Alligator mississippiensis: one gene and its partner. The protein of the gene in region 2 interacts with the protein of the main gene of each other region in a pairwise test. Links are inferred from orthologs where the notes say so. Each region holds a gene or a part of one and is shown on either strand. Other genes may lie near its edges.

The links. The genes of interacting proteins can lie anywhere in the genome.
Region 1: the proteins of CASK (region 2) and TBR1 interact in a two-hybrid assay, tested with the Homo sapiens proteins (2 studies listed by BioGRID and IntAct). The link is inferred for Alligator mississippiensis from reciprocal best matches to the Homo sapiens genes CASK and TBR1.

What each region holds. Positions count from the first base shown.
Region 1 is NC_081827.1:220,054,003-220,061,401, forward strand, and holds the start of TBR1 (T-box brain protein 1), read right to left. Parts: upstream 3,032-7,399; 5' UTR 2,918-3,031; coding exon 2,226-2,917; intron 1,881-2,225; coding exon 1,726-1,880; intron 1,441-1,725; coding exon 1,319-1,440; intron 1,003-1,318; coding exon 844-1,002; intron 1-843. UniProt on the Homo sapiens protein: Transcriptional repressor involved in multiple aspects of cortical development, including neuronal migration, laminar and areal identity, and axonal projection.
Region 2 is NC_081824.1:303,752,672-303,760,253, forward strand, and holds the start of CASK (peripheral plasma membrane protein CASK), read left to right. Parts: upstream 1-4,496; 5' UTR 4,497-4,511; coding exon 4,512-4,579; intron 4,580-7,582. UniProt on the Homo sapiens protein: Multidomain scaffolding Mg(2+)-independent protein kinase that catalyzes the phosphotransfer from ATP to proteins such as NRXN1, and plays a role in synaptic transmembrane protein anchoring and ion channel trafficking.

The DNA.
Region 1 (7,399 bases), on a different chromosome or scaffold from region 2:
ATACCAAGGAGAAATATTTTAATTCGACATTGTTCTTAGATTCCTATTTATAAAAATGTTAAAAAAAAAATTAAGATGCCAGATCAGAAATAATTACTACTTCGAGTTGTTTTACCTAGTATTTGGAAGAGATGATCTAAGCACCGAACACAACAATTAAAAACAAAGCAGACAGGTTTAATATCTACCGTCCAGAGAGAGGGCAAAATAAAAAAAATAAATTAAATTAAAAAAAAAAAGAAGAGAGAGGAAGAAAACCCAAACCCCCAGCACTAACACCCAAACCAAACCCTTCCCCAGGCACTGACGAGATCGCAGTCGGGTTGAAATGAACCAGCACCCCGAGCGCAGGCAGCAGCACCGAGCAGTGGCTCTTTTCAGACTTGCTTAAAATCCGCCCAAGAGAACCGAACACGTTCTTTTGGAAAGGAGGTAATAGCTATTGACAACTATCATGTCCTGGAAGTGCCAATAGGGTTCCTCTCGCTCACCCTGGGAGAGATTCATTACGGACACTGATGCTTGTTTCGACCTAAGGGAATATTTAGTCTCCGGACCCTGCACCAGACTAAACAGCGTCTGGGAGAACCGGGGCAAGGGGAAGGCTCCGAGATATGAACCCACACCCCTGCTAGTGTCGAGGGTTTGGGGCTCGCGGCTCTTGCTGGTCGCAGCAAAGGGCACAGCATTGCAACTTTTACAAATAGATATCCCGACTCCTGTATGTTTGGGACAGGGGACAGCGTCCCCCGTCAGGGCGGGCGGTGGCCTGCCCTGCTCGGAGCGCTGCTGCGGCCCGGGGGAGGCTCCGGCGCGGGTGAAGGAGACCGCCTAGCTCTTTACATCGGTGTTCTGGTAGGCGGTGACCGCTATGAACTGGGTCTCGGGGAAGGTGAACGTCTGTACTCTGCCCGGCTGGTTGGTGTCCTCCGTCCCGTCTTCATTCACCTCCACCACGTGCAAGCGGGGCTGGTACTTGTGCAAGGACTGCAAGACCACCATCTGTCAGGCAGAGAGAGGGGAGGGGAGCCGGGGAGAGAGCCGCATCAGAGCCAGGGCAGGGGGAAAACACTGAGAGCGACTGAAGCGCCGGGAGGAAAAGCCACCGCCGCCGATCCCTCCCCGACAAGCCGGGCGAAGCGCAGCCCGCTCCCGGGCGGGATTTTCCCCTGCTCGGCGGTGCGGTCAGAGGCAAAGCCGCAAGCCCGCGGGCAGGGGGGAGCCCACGGGGCTGCGCTTCCCCGCCCGAGCCTGCGATGTGGCCAAGGAGAAAGCTGGGGCCGAGCTCGATCCTCAGGCAGCGCCGGGCCCCACTGACCTGCCCGTTGTTGTTGGAGGCTCCTTTATTGTTTGTAAGTTTCAGCTTCCCGAAGGAGATCTCCTGGCGCATCCAGTGGGCCCCGGTGTTGGGGGAGTCGGGGTGCATGTACACCCGGTTTCCTGCACGGACACAAAAACACCCGCGCTGCTTACCCGGCTCGGCCCTACCCGCCTCCCGCCCGGAGGGCCGCGAACCCCGGCTTCCCCGGGCTGGATCAGCCGCGTCCTCCACCTCCTTCCCCGCGGGTCCTTTTTCTCCCTTCTCCTTTTCTTTACCCTCCTTCCCCCCACGCCAGCCTTGGCCCGCTCCCGGCTAGGAAGTCGCCAGAGCCAGTCCACAAAGGCTTTAATTAATCCTTCTCACCTCCGCATGTGTCGGGAAACGTGTTAATTGGAAGCACTTGCCTTGCACATTGGTGTCCGCCTTGCCGCAAGGAACCCATTTGCCTCCTTGAAATCTCCAGTGGTTGGGATCGGCCAGAATGACATCCACGAAAATGTTGTAGTGAGCCGTGGGATCCAGGCCGGAGATGTTGAAACTTAGGAAAGGGAACATGCGCCTACGGACAGGGGAAAGGGAAAGAGGAAAGGGAAGAGCCAGCGGCGCACGGGTGCGGAGGGAACCCGGCGGGGCCGAGGGAGCCGAGAGCCCCAAGTAGCCGAGGGGGAAGCCGGCAGAGCTGCAGGGAAAGGCTGAGGACAAAGGCAGGGGGGGAACAGCCGCGGGGCCTCCCCAGGGAGGAAGGGCAGAGACCCGCACCCGCCGCCAGCCCCCCGCTTTCCCCAGGCTTGCGGGCTGCGGTCCGGGTCCCCCAGACATCCAGGCTCGGGCCGGGGGAGCCCGGCGTCCCAGCCCCGCCAGCCCGCGCTGGCTCCACGCAGCAGCCACAGAGAGCGCCGCTTACCTCCCTTGCTTGGTGATGATCATCTCTGTCTGGTGCCGGTGAAATTTCAGCCAGAGTGGCCTGTTGCACAGGTAGACCTGCGCCTTGCCGGGCACCAGCCCCGGCTGGGTGGAGGAGAACTGGTAGAAAGGCGCGCCTTGGTAGGAATGGCCATACTGCTGGGGGTAGGGGTAGCCCGCCGTTGGGTAACCTTGCGGAGAAGAGTTGGACAGGAGGCTGTTGTAAGCTCCATTGGTGATCACAGGATGGTGAGCCATGTAGCGGCTGGGGCTGGCGATAGAAAAGGCTGGGTGAGCGGGTCCATGCTGGCTGGGGTAAGGGAACATGGTACTAGGAGCAGAGGCAGCGGACTGGGGCTGGCTGGACTGAGAGAGCAGATAGCGATCTGCAGCAGATCCATCGAAACTGTGACGAAGCTCAGAGACCCCGTCCAAGACGGGAGAGAGTTTATTTCTCTGGACGTCCCCTGGTGTGTCCTTGGAGTCAGGAAAATTGTCTGTATCTGACTGATTCGTCATCCCCCTGGTAATTTTTTTCAAAGGTGAACTTCTCTCCAGGTTGTCAGTGGTCGAGATAATGGGATGATCATGCAAGGCAAGCTCAGATCCGCCTGCATGTGGGTAACTGCTGCTCACATTGAGAAATTTCTTGGAGAGCATGATAGAGGGAGAAAGACAATGCTCCAGCTGCATAGCTCTAGCACCACAAGAATAACCCTTCAGTCCCTGGATCTGAAAGGGCTCCTTAACACTAGAAACTAGACATTGCGGGACCCTCGCTAAGCAGAAAGCACTTCTTCCACCAAATGCTTCCCAAACGTTTGATTTACTTTTTTTTTTTTTTTTCCCTGGGAGAAGAGATTGGCCAATTGACACTATGCAGCAATCAGGAAAGACTCACTTTTGATCTTGCTGCTTGTGGAGCGGATGAAACGGCTCCTGCCATTGGTTAACTGCTGACAGTAATTTAATTAGATAGACATTAATTAGGATAATCACCTGGCTCCTGGTCGCGACGATCATGGCAAATTGAAGGAGATGATTTTGTGAGATAGAAGGGAGCTGGGGGGAGCGCGTGTGTTTGCTGGGAGTGCTCATTATTGTGTGACCTCCCGAGCTTTGTGACTGTGGATGGAAAAGAAATCAAAAGACGATTTCTGCGACCTCCTAAATGCTGTTCTCTCCCTCGCGAGCAGGGGAGCGCTTAGAGGCTGGAGGTTTGGGGTGCAGCCAAGGTGGCAGCATTCACTCGGACTGCAAGGACGGCGCGGGGCAGAGCTCGCGAGCCACAAGCCGGTGGCCTGCTTTCACCTTAGCCTCGCGCAGTGTCTCTTTCCCGGCTAATACGAAGTACGCAATAGCTGCGTGGACTCTTTTATAAGATCTCCCCCTGCCTCCCCGCCGCCCCCCGCACGAGCTGCTTCCCGGGGAGGAAAGAAAGCTCCCTCCCCGCGACGACTGCTGCCGGCCCCGGGCGCGGCGCGGCGCCTCTCCCCATCGGGCAGAGGGCCCTAAGGCACCGGCCGTGCTGGTCACGGCCGCTTTGGTGCATCAATATTTCATGTGTGCGCTGTAATGCGGACGATAATCGCGCCAGGCAGGCATCCTTCTCCACATTGCCTTCCACTCGCTGTCTTTTTTCTTGCAGTGACTCAGGCGCGGAGAGCTCTTTTGTAAGAGATTTGTCATAGAAGCGATCACCCCGGTTCGCAAACGAAGCGAGAGCTGTCGCCAGGGGCCGGAGCCCGCCGAAGGGCTGTGCTGGCACGGCGAGTACCGGGGCCACGGGCAGCGCCCCCGGCTGCCGAGCGAGGCGCCCCCGCAGGCAGCGGGCAGGGCGCGGCTCTGCAAGGGGGCGGCGCTGGCGGAGGCAGCCGGGCCCCTGCGCCCCCCCTGGCCCGTGCAAGGTCATCGGCCGCCCCCTGCCAAGCTGCTCTCGCGGGCCCCGCGCGCACACGCTGCTCTGCTTTCGGCCCGTGCGGGCAGGACAGGGCTCGTGGTGGCTCACCAGTGCGCCGCCTGCCCTTCCCCAGCAGGCGCAGGGCTGGGAGCTTGTGCAGTCCTCCCGGTGAGCACCTGGTTACATCCCCCCACTCCTTCAGAGACCAGCTCTTGCCCTCTCTCCCACTCGTCCACCACCAGTAACCAGAGTCTTGGCTGCTGGTAAGAAACCAGAGGGGGAAGGATGGCCCCCAGCAGAGTGAAGGCCCCCGACCTCCCTCTGCAGCCAGGCTGCACCCTGGCAGAGGTGCCAAATATACGTGGAAGCTGGGCCTCAGCAGGCCTGCTGTATCAACACCGCAGCTGCCAACCTGGTGGTGCCCTCTGATCCTTCAATGCAGGAGCCAAAAACATTGTAGCAAATATTCTGTAGGTAACTAAACGAGAATTCTGTGGAAAAACTAAATGTGGTTAACTAGAAAGACCAGGTGGTCTCCTAGTTCTCTTCAGCACCTTCCTAGATGCCTATTTATTATAAAGCATTTGAACCTGCAAAGCAGTTCTCTGCAAAAAGCAAAGAGAAAGCACAGTTACAATGATCAAAGAAAGCTTTGCTCTTAAGCGACACAAACCTTACTCCCCCAAATACTATAGTGGAAATAATTCTTCTTGTATTTTTAGTTTGAGCATTTGATAGTTCTTCATTCAGTCAACTCAACAATGATGCCCTCCTTTGCACTGTCACAGCTCAGATGGTAAATAATTTCTTGAGGAACTATCAATGAGGTCAGCAACAAAGCTCCAACTAGTGGCAAAGACCAAGATCATAAAGAGAAGAGCAGATAGAGGGGAGTAGAAGTGAGCAAATTTGGTTCTGCACTCTCCTGCCAATCAAAAGAACAACTGTTCTAAACATCAGAAGGAAAAGTAAATTTAAAATGCCCTTTAAAAAATTCAATACCTTTTTAAAAATGTTTTCTTCAAATAGATTTTAGTTCATTTAAAAAAAACCCCTAACATTTCAAAATCTGAAAAAGATTACAACTACTTGGTTTCTTCAAGTATTATTGTATGTATACAGTGAAAAGCCATACAAAAAGGTTTTTAGCTTACATAAGATACAGCCAAACATTACATTAATTTGTAAATAAATGCTAACGAAACATTTGATAACGTTTCAGGTTTTGATTTTGTAACTAAAGTACAAGATTCAGTAAATGTATTTGAGATAGAACAATAACTGAGTTCACAGCTGACTAGGAAGACCATGTTTTACAGTGGATATAGTCTTCAAGCCTCTCTGTAAAACCATTTCTAATGAAATCTTTCACAAATGCCAGTCATGCACACTACTGTGTTAGTCTTGATTTTTGAATGGCTGGTTGGTTAACGCATACTATTTTCCATACCATTCATCCTGTTTTCCAGGAATATATAGCAGTTTTCTGAGCAGAGCTAGTTACATACTACGCTGCTACAGTTCTTGGTGCTTGTTTCTTTCACTAATACAAATTCTCCAGTGTAAAACTGCTATGATGATGATAGCACCAGCTGAAAGATCAGGAGACATAAGGAAGAACTTCTTCACAGTTCGAGTGGCCAAGGTCTGGAACGGGCTCCCAAGGGAGGTGGTGCTCTCCCCTACCCTGGGGGTCTTCAAGAGGAGGTTAGACGAGTATCTAGCTGGGGTCATCTAGACCCAGCACTCTTTCCTGCTTATGCAGGGGGTCGGACTTGATGATCTATTGAGGTCCCTTCCGACCCTAACATCTATGAATCTATTAATCTATGAGACAAGGCAAAATCTCCAGGAGACATAGGGGAAAGACTGCATTACACATTTCATGTAGTATGTTCAACCATGGCATATCGATTTACATTGCAGAGATGTAATGAATTCTGCTGCAAACTGGGAATTATGTAACAGTACTAATGTATTCTGAAAAAACCCTTTATTTTGTCCTTTTGTTAAGCGGGCACCACTGATGGATAGGTAGTGGTAGGCTAATCCGTTCTTAGAAAAAATGTGAAAAAGGTTGGAGAAGAATTGCAAAAGGCACTCTCTGCGACTTCTCAGGGTGGTCAGGTCCTAATGAAGCTTGGGTGCTCTCTTCCGGACAGTAGTCTGGTCCCTTCTGGCCATGTCACTACATGCATCCTACTGTCTCAAACAGCTATGTAATCCTTTCTTTTTGGGTTCTTAAAATGCTTAGTAGATAAAGAAGTAACAACTAGAACATGACAGAAAACAGAATTTGACAGGTTTATGCAGCATTCATATAAAAGAAAAAATGCATAGCCAGGCTGCATTACACACAGGACCTGGGTGACATGGTGCAAGCCCAGGCTACAGCAGATATGCTTCTTCTTGAAAATAAATTCTTCTTCAGTTACCCGCTGTAAAACATCCTCACTCCCCAAATATCAAACACCTGATACATTGGTGCTACTTATCAGGAACTTTGCATTTTTCCCTTCCTCCTTGCCTGGTGTTCTGTTGCCTTCTTTTGAGGCTCATAATTGGTAAGTTTGCAAACATCTGCATGTATTTCTATTTGAATTAGATGTGTATTAAGTATAAATTGACAGAGTTCTGTTTGTAAATAGTATCTAACTTAAAGGTCAACATCTGAACAGGCACAAAAAAAAAAAAAGCACAAAAAACGCCTTGTAATAAACTAGTGAACAACAGACTACAGTTTGCACTGCATGGAATACTTGCTGCCTACAGACATAAAATGGAACAATGAGGCAAAGCTAGGCTCTACCAATCACACCAGTCAAGTCCCCCTTGTAATTCTGTCTTTTAAAGACTCAAATCTAGCAGGAGTTTAAAATAGTCATCTGCCTGAACCTGTGAATTTTATTTAATTTTTTTTTTAAATCACTTCATTAGTTAAACAGAATAATGTGTGAGAACAAAAGTATAAGAGGAACATTAGTGATTATGGTCTCTGTAGCTGCCTAATACTGAAAACCACCTGTTTGGATTTACTGAGACAGGAGCTAGGTTTAAATAAGGTAAATGCACAAAGATAATTCCTTTGAGCGAGTGTTCCCATACCCTCAGAGCAGGAAGGGGCTTGAGAAGTCTTTTTTGCAACTGGGACTCTTCTGTGGGACTTGAGATTTAATTTAACCTCCTCTTACTGCTAAGGAATTGTCTTTATGACTGACCTCCAGTCACATTTTATTTTTTCAGGCAGGGAAAATACTTACAATAAAGTTTTACAA
Region 2 (7,582 bases):
TCTTAGTAACTCTAAAAGTAAGGAACCATGTCATGCGGGCACCACAAACTCAGGGACATGTGCTGGCACATATATGTCCACACACATGCACGCAGAGCAAAATTGAGCATTTGTGTTTCTGGCTGTTAATCTCCCAGCCTCACTTTCATCTCTTACATAAAGTGAGTCAGGGAGATTAACAGCTAGAAACACCAATGCTAATTCTGCTGTGTGCGTGTGGGGAGGGTGCAAGGGCATGGCCTTCAGTTTGTGGTGCTCATTTGACACGGTTCTTTACTTTTAGAGGTGCTGAGAAACCTTCACTGCATTTGGGCATCATCTGCATGCTAGTAGTGGAAAATTCCCAAGTTTGGCAGATGTGAGTTTTTCCAAGGCCACATGGTTAAGTTGGGGCTTTGGGACTTGTTGGGAGTTTGGCTCCAAGTCTATTCTGCCACACAGCAACATAGGTGGTGAGTGAGAAGATGGATTTGTGAGATGCAGTGAGAAAAATTAGAGAATCCAAAACAAATAAATGAGGCTCTGGAAAAAAACTGGCAGAGAAAGAGGAGACTGCATTCCTTCTTGCACCTAAATGTCCCAGTGAGGTCAAAAGGCTACCATCCTTATAAGTAAACCATTCCAGAAAGGGACACGCTGAAAGTCTTCACTGCTTACATTTTAGGCAGTTACGGAATAAATTTTATTGGGTTCTAGAAATGCTGCAGAGATTCAACCTGAAAATTTAAAATTAGGCCTAGGCCCCTTATGGTTGGCAAAATCTAGCAAGGTCTGTTGGATGCTGTGGTGAAAAATATCAGTCTGCTGCCAGAAAACAAAGTATGACTTCCCCCCAAGTTGGGCATGACATCCAAGATCAAAACCACAGACAGGCAGACAAATTCATTCTCTGTCAGGATCTGCTACTAATGCTGCTCTGCTAATACACTCGGGTCTCTCTTTATGCGAGGGTTGCATTCCAAAAAAATCCTTGCATAAAGCAAATTTGCAAAAAGCGAATCCATTATTACATGTAATTAATAGGGATATGTACCAGCCGCACTCTACTGACCCCCCAAACCATGACAAATTCAAACAGTAATCACACAATACAATAGCTGCTGCGTGGAGAGGCTGTGAGCACACGCAGGGGGCAGCGCAGGGCAGGCTAGAGAGGCACCCAGGGGAGGGAAGCAGGGTGGCAGAGAATGCCAGCTGCTCGCCGTGCCTGGCTCCACCCTGCTTCCCTTCCCCAGGTGCCTCTCCAGCCTCGTGGGCACAACTCAATGCAGCTGGGAACAGCAGGAGGGAGTACAAGCTCCCTGCTGCACCGGGTTACACCTGCTGGGCTGTGGAGGCACCCAGGGCAGGGAAGCAGGGAACTGTGGGGCCGCACAGAGAAGGTGCTTGCCCTGAGAAGCAAGCAGCAGCTTGTGGAGCAGGTGCATTGCCAAAGCAGCACGGGGTGAGCACCTTCTCTGTGCGGCCCCACTGTTCCCTGTTTCCCTACCCTGGGTGCCTCCACAGCCTAGCAGGTGTGACCCAGTGCAGCAGGGAGCTTGTAGCCTCTCTGTGCAGCCTCACTGGGTCACATCCACCAGGCTGGAGAGGTACCTGGGGCAGGGAAGCAGGCCATCAGGGAATGGCAGCTGCTCATCCTGCGCTGCCCTGGGGACATGCCTCCTGTGCCTGCTGCTCTTTGGCAGCGGGATGCAGGTGTTGGGACCAGGCAGGGAGAGGAGCCGAGCTGGGCCCAGGATTAGGGCCAGGGCCCACTGCACCCATGCATCTGCCCCTTCCTCTTCCCCTTGGAAGTGTGTGCGGCAGCGGGGAGCTACCGAGAAGCCACTGGAGGGTCCATCCTGCTCTCTTCTTGGGCCCTGCAGCTGCGCACTGCAGCTCTAGACCCCATGTACCCGCTGGCTGGACAGCAGCCCCAGGCCTGCCCAGCTCCCTCCCTACAGGGACCTCAATCCCCCTCTTCCCCCCGTTACCTGCCAGAGCTGCCCTCGAGGCTACTTGGGGCCATGTGCATGTACTTGTGCATGCACATGGTGTCCCCTGTCTTGTCACCTCCCTTCTTCTTCCTCCCAGCTCCCTGCCAGCTGGAACTCTGCCAGCTGGCAGGGAACTAGTTTCTGGGCAACTTCGCATAAGATTGGATTTTTCTTGCACAAAGCAAATTAAAGGTATAAATTAAGGTCATTGCATATAAGTGAATTTGCACAAAATGAATTTGCATAAAGAGAGACCCGAGTGTAGATCAACAATCATATTCTCTTAGCCTCTTTCACTTGGGGTTTAATAAGAGTGGTTTTTCTGCTGTAGAGAACTCAGAAGGCCCGCAACAGGTCCCAGTGTGTTTGATGCTACGGATTCTGGCTTGAAACCTCTGGGTTTATCTTGTGAATCAGTTTGCACATTCAACATTACAAACTTTGCATAGCACCCTTGACAGGCTCTCCAGGCACCCCAGGGTGCCACAGCGCCTTAGTTGAGAATCACAGGTGTAGAAACTGTTAGAACACCTTATGGGACACTTCTTAGTTGGGCTCTCTTTGACGTGTGGGAAGACAGCATAGCCTTTGCTGTTAATGAGTTTTAACCATCCCTTGTGCGCCGAAGTTATTTTTGAATGCAATTAACTTGACAAAATGAAAACAGAAAAACATTTTTCCTGGATAAGAGCCTCTGCGTACCCCTCCAGGGGCACAGCTTCCCTTTCCTTCTGCCATCGGCTTTTTGCCAATACCAGGCAAGCATCCGCTGGCACCACCTAGCCCAGCGGTTCCCAATGACAGATTGCGCACCACCAATTTAAAACAATGCGACCTTAAGTACCACCAGCAAGTGTTTCAGCTTAACCCTAAGTGCCCCCAGCCAATTTTTGTCATATGAAGTAATGATAATAAATCGGTTCACGCACACCATCGACAGATTGTCTGCATACCACTGGTGCTGCCTGTACCACAGATCGGGAACCGCTGCCCTAGCCTTTTTTTCCTGCCCGTCCTTCCGCAGGTGCCAGAACAGGGCCAGACCAGGGGCTGCACATTTTGCAAACGAAGCGACTGCGGACACAGCCCCGCTCGGCGGGACAGCGAGAACCAGAGCCGTTCAGCTGCCTCGCCGAAACAAGAGGCCCCCGGGACTTTGCTTTTCTTCTCTTTCCAGCGGCGGGCTCGGTTTTCCTTACTTCGAGAGACGACACTGCACGCTCACAGAGAGAGGAGGGACAGAGGCTGAGGTGGAGCCTGCTTCTCGGGCTGCAGCGGGAAAAGAGCCGGCAGGACAAGGACAGGGACTGCAACATTACTCGGGGGCATCATCCACATCCTCCCTGCCCTTTGTCTGCACGCGGGGCTCCCCGCAGGGGGGGAGAGGCCGCCTTCCTCCCCGGCGGGGGCCTCACGAGGGAAGCAGCCACCCCACCCCGGATGACGTCACACAACCCTACGCCTGCGCACTCCGGCTTTTCCCCCGCGCTCTCTTACGGTCAGTGGGCGTGGCTCTGCGTGCGGAGGGCGGGGCGGGGCGGCGAGGCGAGCTTGCGTGCGTGTGTGGAGTGGGCGGGCTGCTCGGAGCAGCCCCGAATGCGTGCGTAGGATGCGCGCGCCGGCGGGGGTTGCGTGACGGGTGTCGGCGCGCGCCCCTTCCTCCCCTCCCTCCCCGTACCGTGCGCGAGCGGCGCGCGCAGCCAGACGGCGCTGCCTCCTCCCGCCCCGCCAGCCGCCGCCGGGGAGGAGCCGCCGCCGCGGCCGGAGCAGCAGCGGCAGCAGCAGCCGGGGCCGCCGCGGGGGGAGGGGCGGAGGGAAGGCGGAGCCGCAGCGCGGGCGCGGCTGGAGCGGGGAGCCCGGCGGGGCCGCGGGGGGCACCTCCCCCTCCCCCCCGCGGGGCGCGGTGGGACCATGGCCGACGACGACGTGCTGTTCGAGGACGTGTACGAGCTGTGCGAGGTGATCGGCAAGTGAGTGCGGGGCGGGGCGGGGCGGGGCGGGGATGGGATGCTCTGCTCGCTGGCGCCCACCTGTGCGCGGGTGTGTGCGCGCGCGCGGGTGTGTAACCGCTTTATGTAACGCGGCGGGGGAGGGGGTGACCCCGATGCCCCCCGGCCCCTGCAGCAGCTGCTCTGCCGCTCCCTCGCATCCCAGCGCCGCCGGGGCAGGGCAGCAGCCTGCCTCCCCGCGGCCCCGCCCGGCTGCAGCATGCCCGCGTTGGCGCTCAGGTAAGGGCCGCTCGGGCTCGGCGCAGCCCTCTCCCTCCCCCGCTGCCGGAGCCTCCTCGGGCTCCTTATGCAACGGCTGCTCTCAGCCCAGCTATGGCTGGAGGGTCCCTGGTCTCTTCTCCTCAAGCTGAGGGAAGTGTGAGAAGCCAGCCAGGTCCCCCTGGGGGCAGCCACAGCTGTCCTGGCTTTTGCCCTCCTAGTCTTGCTGGGTCGTGAGGCAGCAGTAGCAGTGGGATGCCGCTTTCCAGTGTCTCTTTGGTTTGGAGACAGCTGAGGGCTGAATAGAGGCTTGGGCAGTCACTGTGGCATGCACTATTTTTTGCTGACGGATCTTTTGAGGAGGGACACTTTGCAATACCACCTTGGTTTAAACAGGTTTGTGTGTGTGTGTCTGTTTTCCCCCCCTTCTTCCCCCCCCCCCCCAACCTCAGCAGACCTGAAATGTTCTGAGAATTGCCGGCTCCTTGGAAAGCTGGAACTAAAACAGGCTTTTTTTTTTTTTTTTTTTCTTGAGCACATCTTCCCTGGGGATTATGCCAGTATGTCAGTCTAAGACTCATGGAGTGACCGTGTCCTTAATGTCACATTCGCCCGTGTTTTGATACTTCTCGTTTTTTTCGTTATGGCACAAGGCATGCACCCATCCTGAATGTCACCTGCCGTTTCCTACAGATGTCTTCTCGGTCATAAAGCTTGAAGGGACTCGTTTGGCAGAAGGACCACTAATAGTCGTGGATGTCATTTAAAGCTGATCAAGAGAAGAAAAGCTTCTGGGGTTAGGAAATTGGATGGCAACTTTGGTATTACCAGCATGCAGAGCAATTTCAGATGATCCGGTGTTGAGCTGCACCCTTCCCCCCCCCCCATGAAAATTGCATGAGTGTGAATTTTTAGTACTTTTGTATATTTTATTTGAGTAGGGTTAGGGCCAATTAAAAGGGAGGCCTAGTGGATATGCCTAATCTTAATGTGGGCACTTTCCAGAGATGAGTTGTGCAAAGGGGATTGTTGCAAATCTTGTGACATTTTTAAAATGATTCTCACTTTGTGTGAATACTAAGGAAAAGGGGCCAGAGTTAAGTGCTAAGTATCTACAAAACTTCAAAATAAATATTTTGGCATTTTTTAATTGTGTATGTAGTAGACAAAGTTCTTTGTGATGTAAATAGGTTAAAATTGTCAGAAATTGTTAAAATTGTGCCAGAGGAATAGAGTGGGCAGTTAGATATCCTAACCTGTGACATTGTCGTTGCTGCTAACTAGTCAGGATTGTATAGCCAGGTTCTTCTGTGAGGATCAGGAAGATGTCATGTCATTCCCCTTAAAGAACATGTTAATAAATAAATAGCTTAATTATTTGCATCAGTATTCTTGTCACTTGAATAATACCCTGGAGTTACGTGTTAAGGACCATAGATGGAGCTTCTTGTTTTGTTAATACCTCAAGTCTGTGAAGCTTTTCCGTCTTGGAGAAGCCTGTGAAAGGGCAGTGTAAATCTGCTCCGAATTGCTACATATGCATCTTGCTAAACACCTTTCAGTAAAACATCAACTAAATGTCTGCCCATTCCTGTGACTTATTACTGATTGATACAGTAATTTAGCTCTTGGAAACAGCACACCTGGCCTTGATTTGCATTTCAGAGGCATGAAATATTTAAAATGTGTGTAATTTATCTTTACTGAGTAAGTGGCTACCACTGCCATCTTACGTAGAAAAACAGGTGGTTTCAGGAAAGCTATGGAAGGGAGAACTGTAACAAAATGTTTTTTTGCATGTCCTTTGTAGATGTTGAATAGGTTTTGAAAAGGTAAATTCCTAAATTTCTTTTCTGTTGGCTTGGGAACGCAGACCTCCTTTGGAGTCAGTCTTCTAGTTGACACTTGACTGTACAGCTTGCTGTGTTAGTCTCTTTCTAAATCTTTTAAAAAAATTTTAATGAGCTGCTAAGACTGGCAGGGTTATTTTATCTGAACAAAATGTTAATTGCTTTTTAGCTTGTTGCATTATAATTTGGTAAGAATGAACTAGTTGAAATGGTGGCTGTGATGGTAAAAAGTCAGGCAGTTAAGGAGCATTGCACAAGTTGAAGTTCTGTTAGCAGGGTTTCTTTTTCTTTTTTTGGGCATGGGAGGAAAGGAGTGTCAAAATTGGGGAATAGATGTACTATTATGAATATATCATCAGGAAAGTGGTGGTGAGTGACTTTTATTTGCATACACTAATACACACCTTTTTTCCTTAATAATAAAACAAGCCTCACACGGACGAGTAATCAGGACAATATAATTTCCTTCTTAAGTTAAAGGCAGCAAAGCTTAAAAAACAATCAGTGGTGTCCTTTAGGATGCAAGCATTGCTCGAGTAAATTTACTTTGCAAGTTCTGGGTAAAATTTTGGATTCTTGACATAACTTGTTCACATCCACATCCCTTCTCGCATGTGCTTGCCCAAGAGTAAATAATTGGGGTGGGGGCATGCTAGCCTTCACAAACATTAAATGTTAAGGGAATTGGCCATGAGGTAAAGAATAAATAACTCCTTTGATTCAGACTTCAGAGGTTTACCTAAAAGCAACTCACTTGGGATGTTAGAAGGCAGATTACTACAAAAACATTTAAATGCTTTTATTTTCGGTAAGGCAAAGTACTGGATTCAGAATTAATAGATAATTACATCTGGTACATTTTGTGTTTAAAACATTAATTCTGGCCACTTGCCAGTTGCAAAAAAGTTGAAGGAAGTGAAGAGTTTTACCATTCTAAGTGTCACTGAAAGGTATTCAAAGCTTATTGTCTGCAGTCTGTTTATGTTGAGACATAGTATATTTTAAGCTTAAAGTAATTCTCATGCCCTTCTAATACTGAATAGACACTTCCAGTACTCGCCCAGAAGACCAAATCGTGGTTTCTGTGTTCAGTATAATTTTCTTCTGATCCTTGCCACATGACTATCTAGTTTTGGCTTGTATCTGACTTTGACTTGGTGGGGCTATAAGATTCATATTTTTGGTAGTCGTGTAATGCTGACATGTTAGACTGTCTGTGATGATCCAGACGTACACTAGAGACTGCTTTCATTAAAGTTGCCTACCCTGATGTCTTTCTCTCAGAACGCCTTATTTATTAATATTTATCATTTTACTTCATTGCACTGTGGTATATTCATGTTGAAGGAATATTGTCAGAACTAAAAGTGCACTGAAGTCCTCTGGCTTTACTAATGGCTAACATGGGTGTAAAACTGACCCTGTGCCCTAGGCTGGATCTAGGTGTGTGGTGTGGTGGTGGTGGCAGCAGCAGTGGCTGCAGCAGGATCAGCTGCTGTAGGGGAAGCAGTGGCAGGAGTGGTACCTGCTGGTTAAGGCAGGCAGGCTG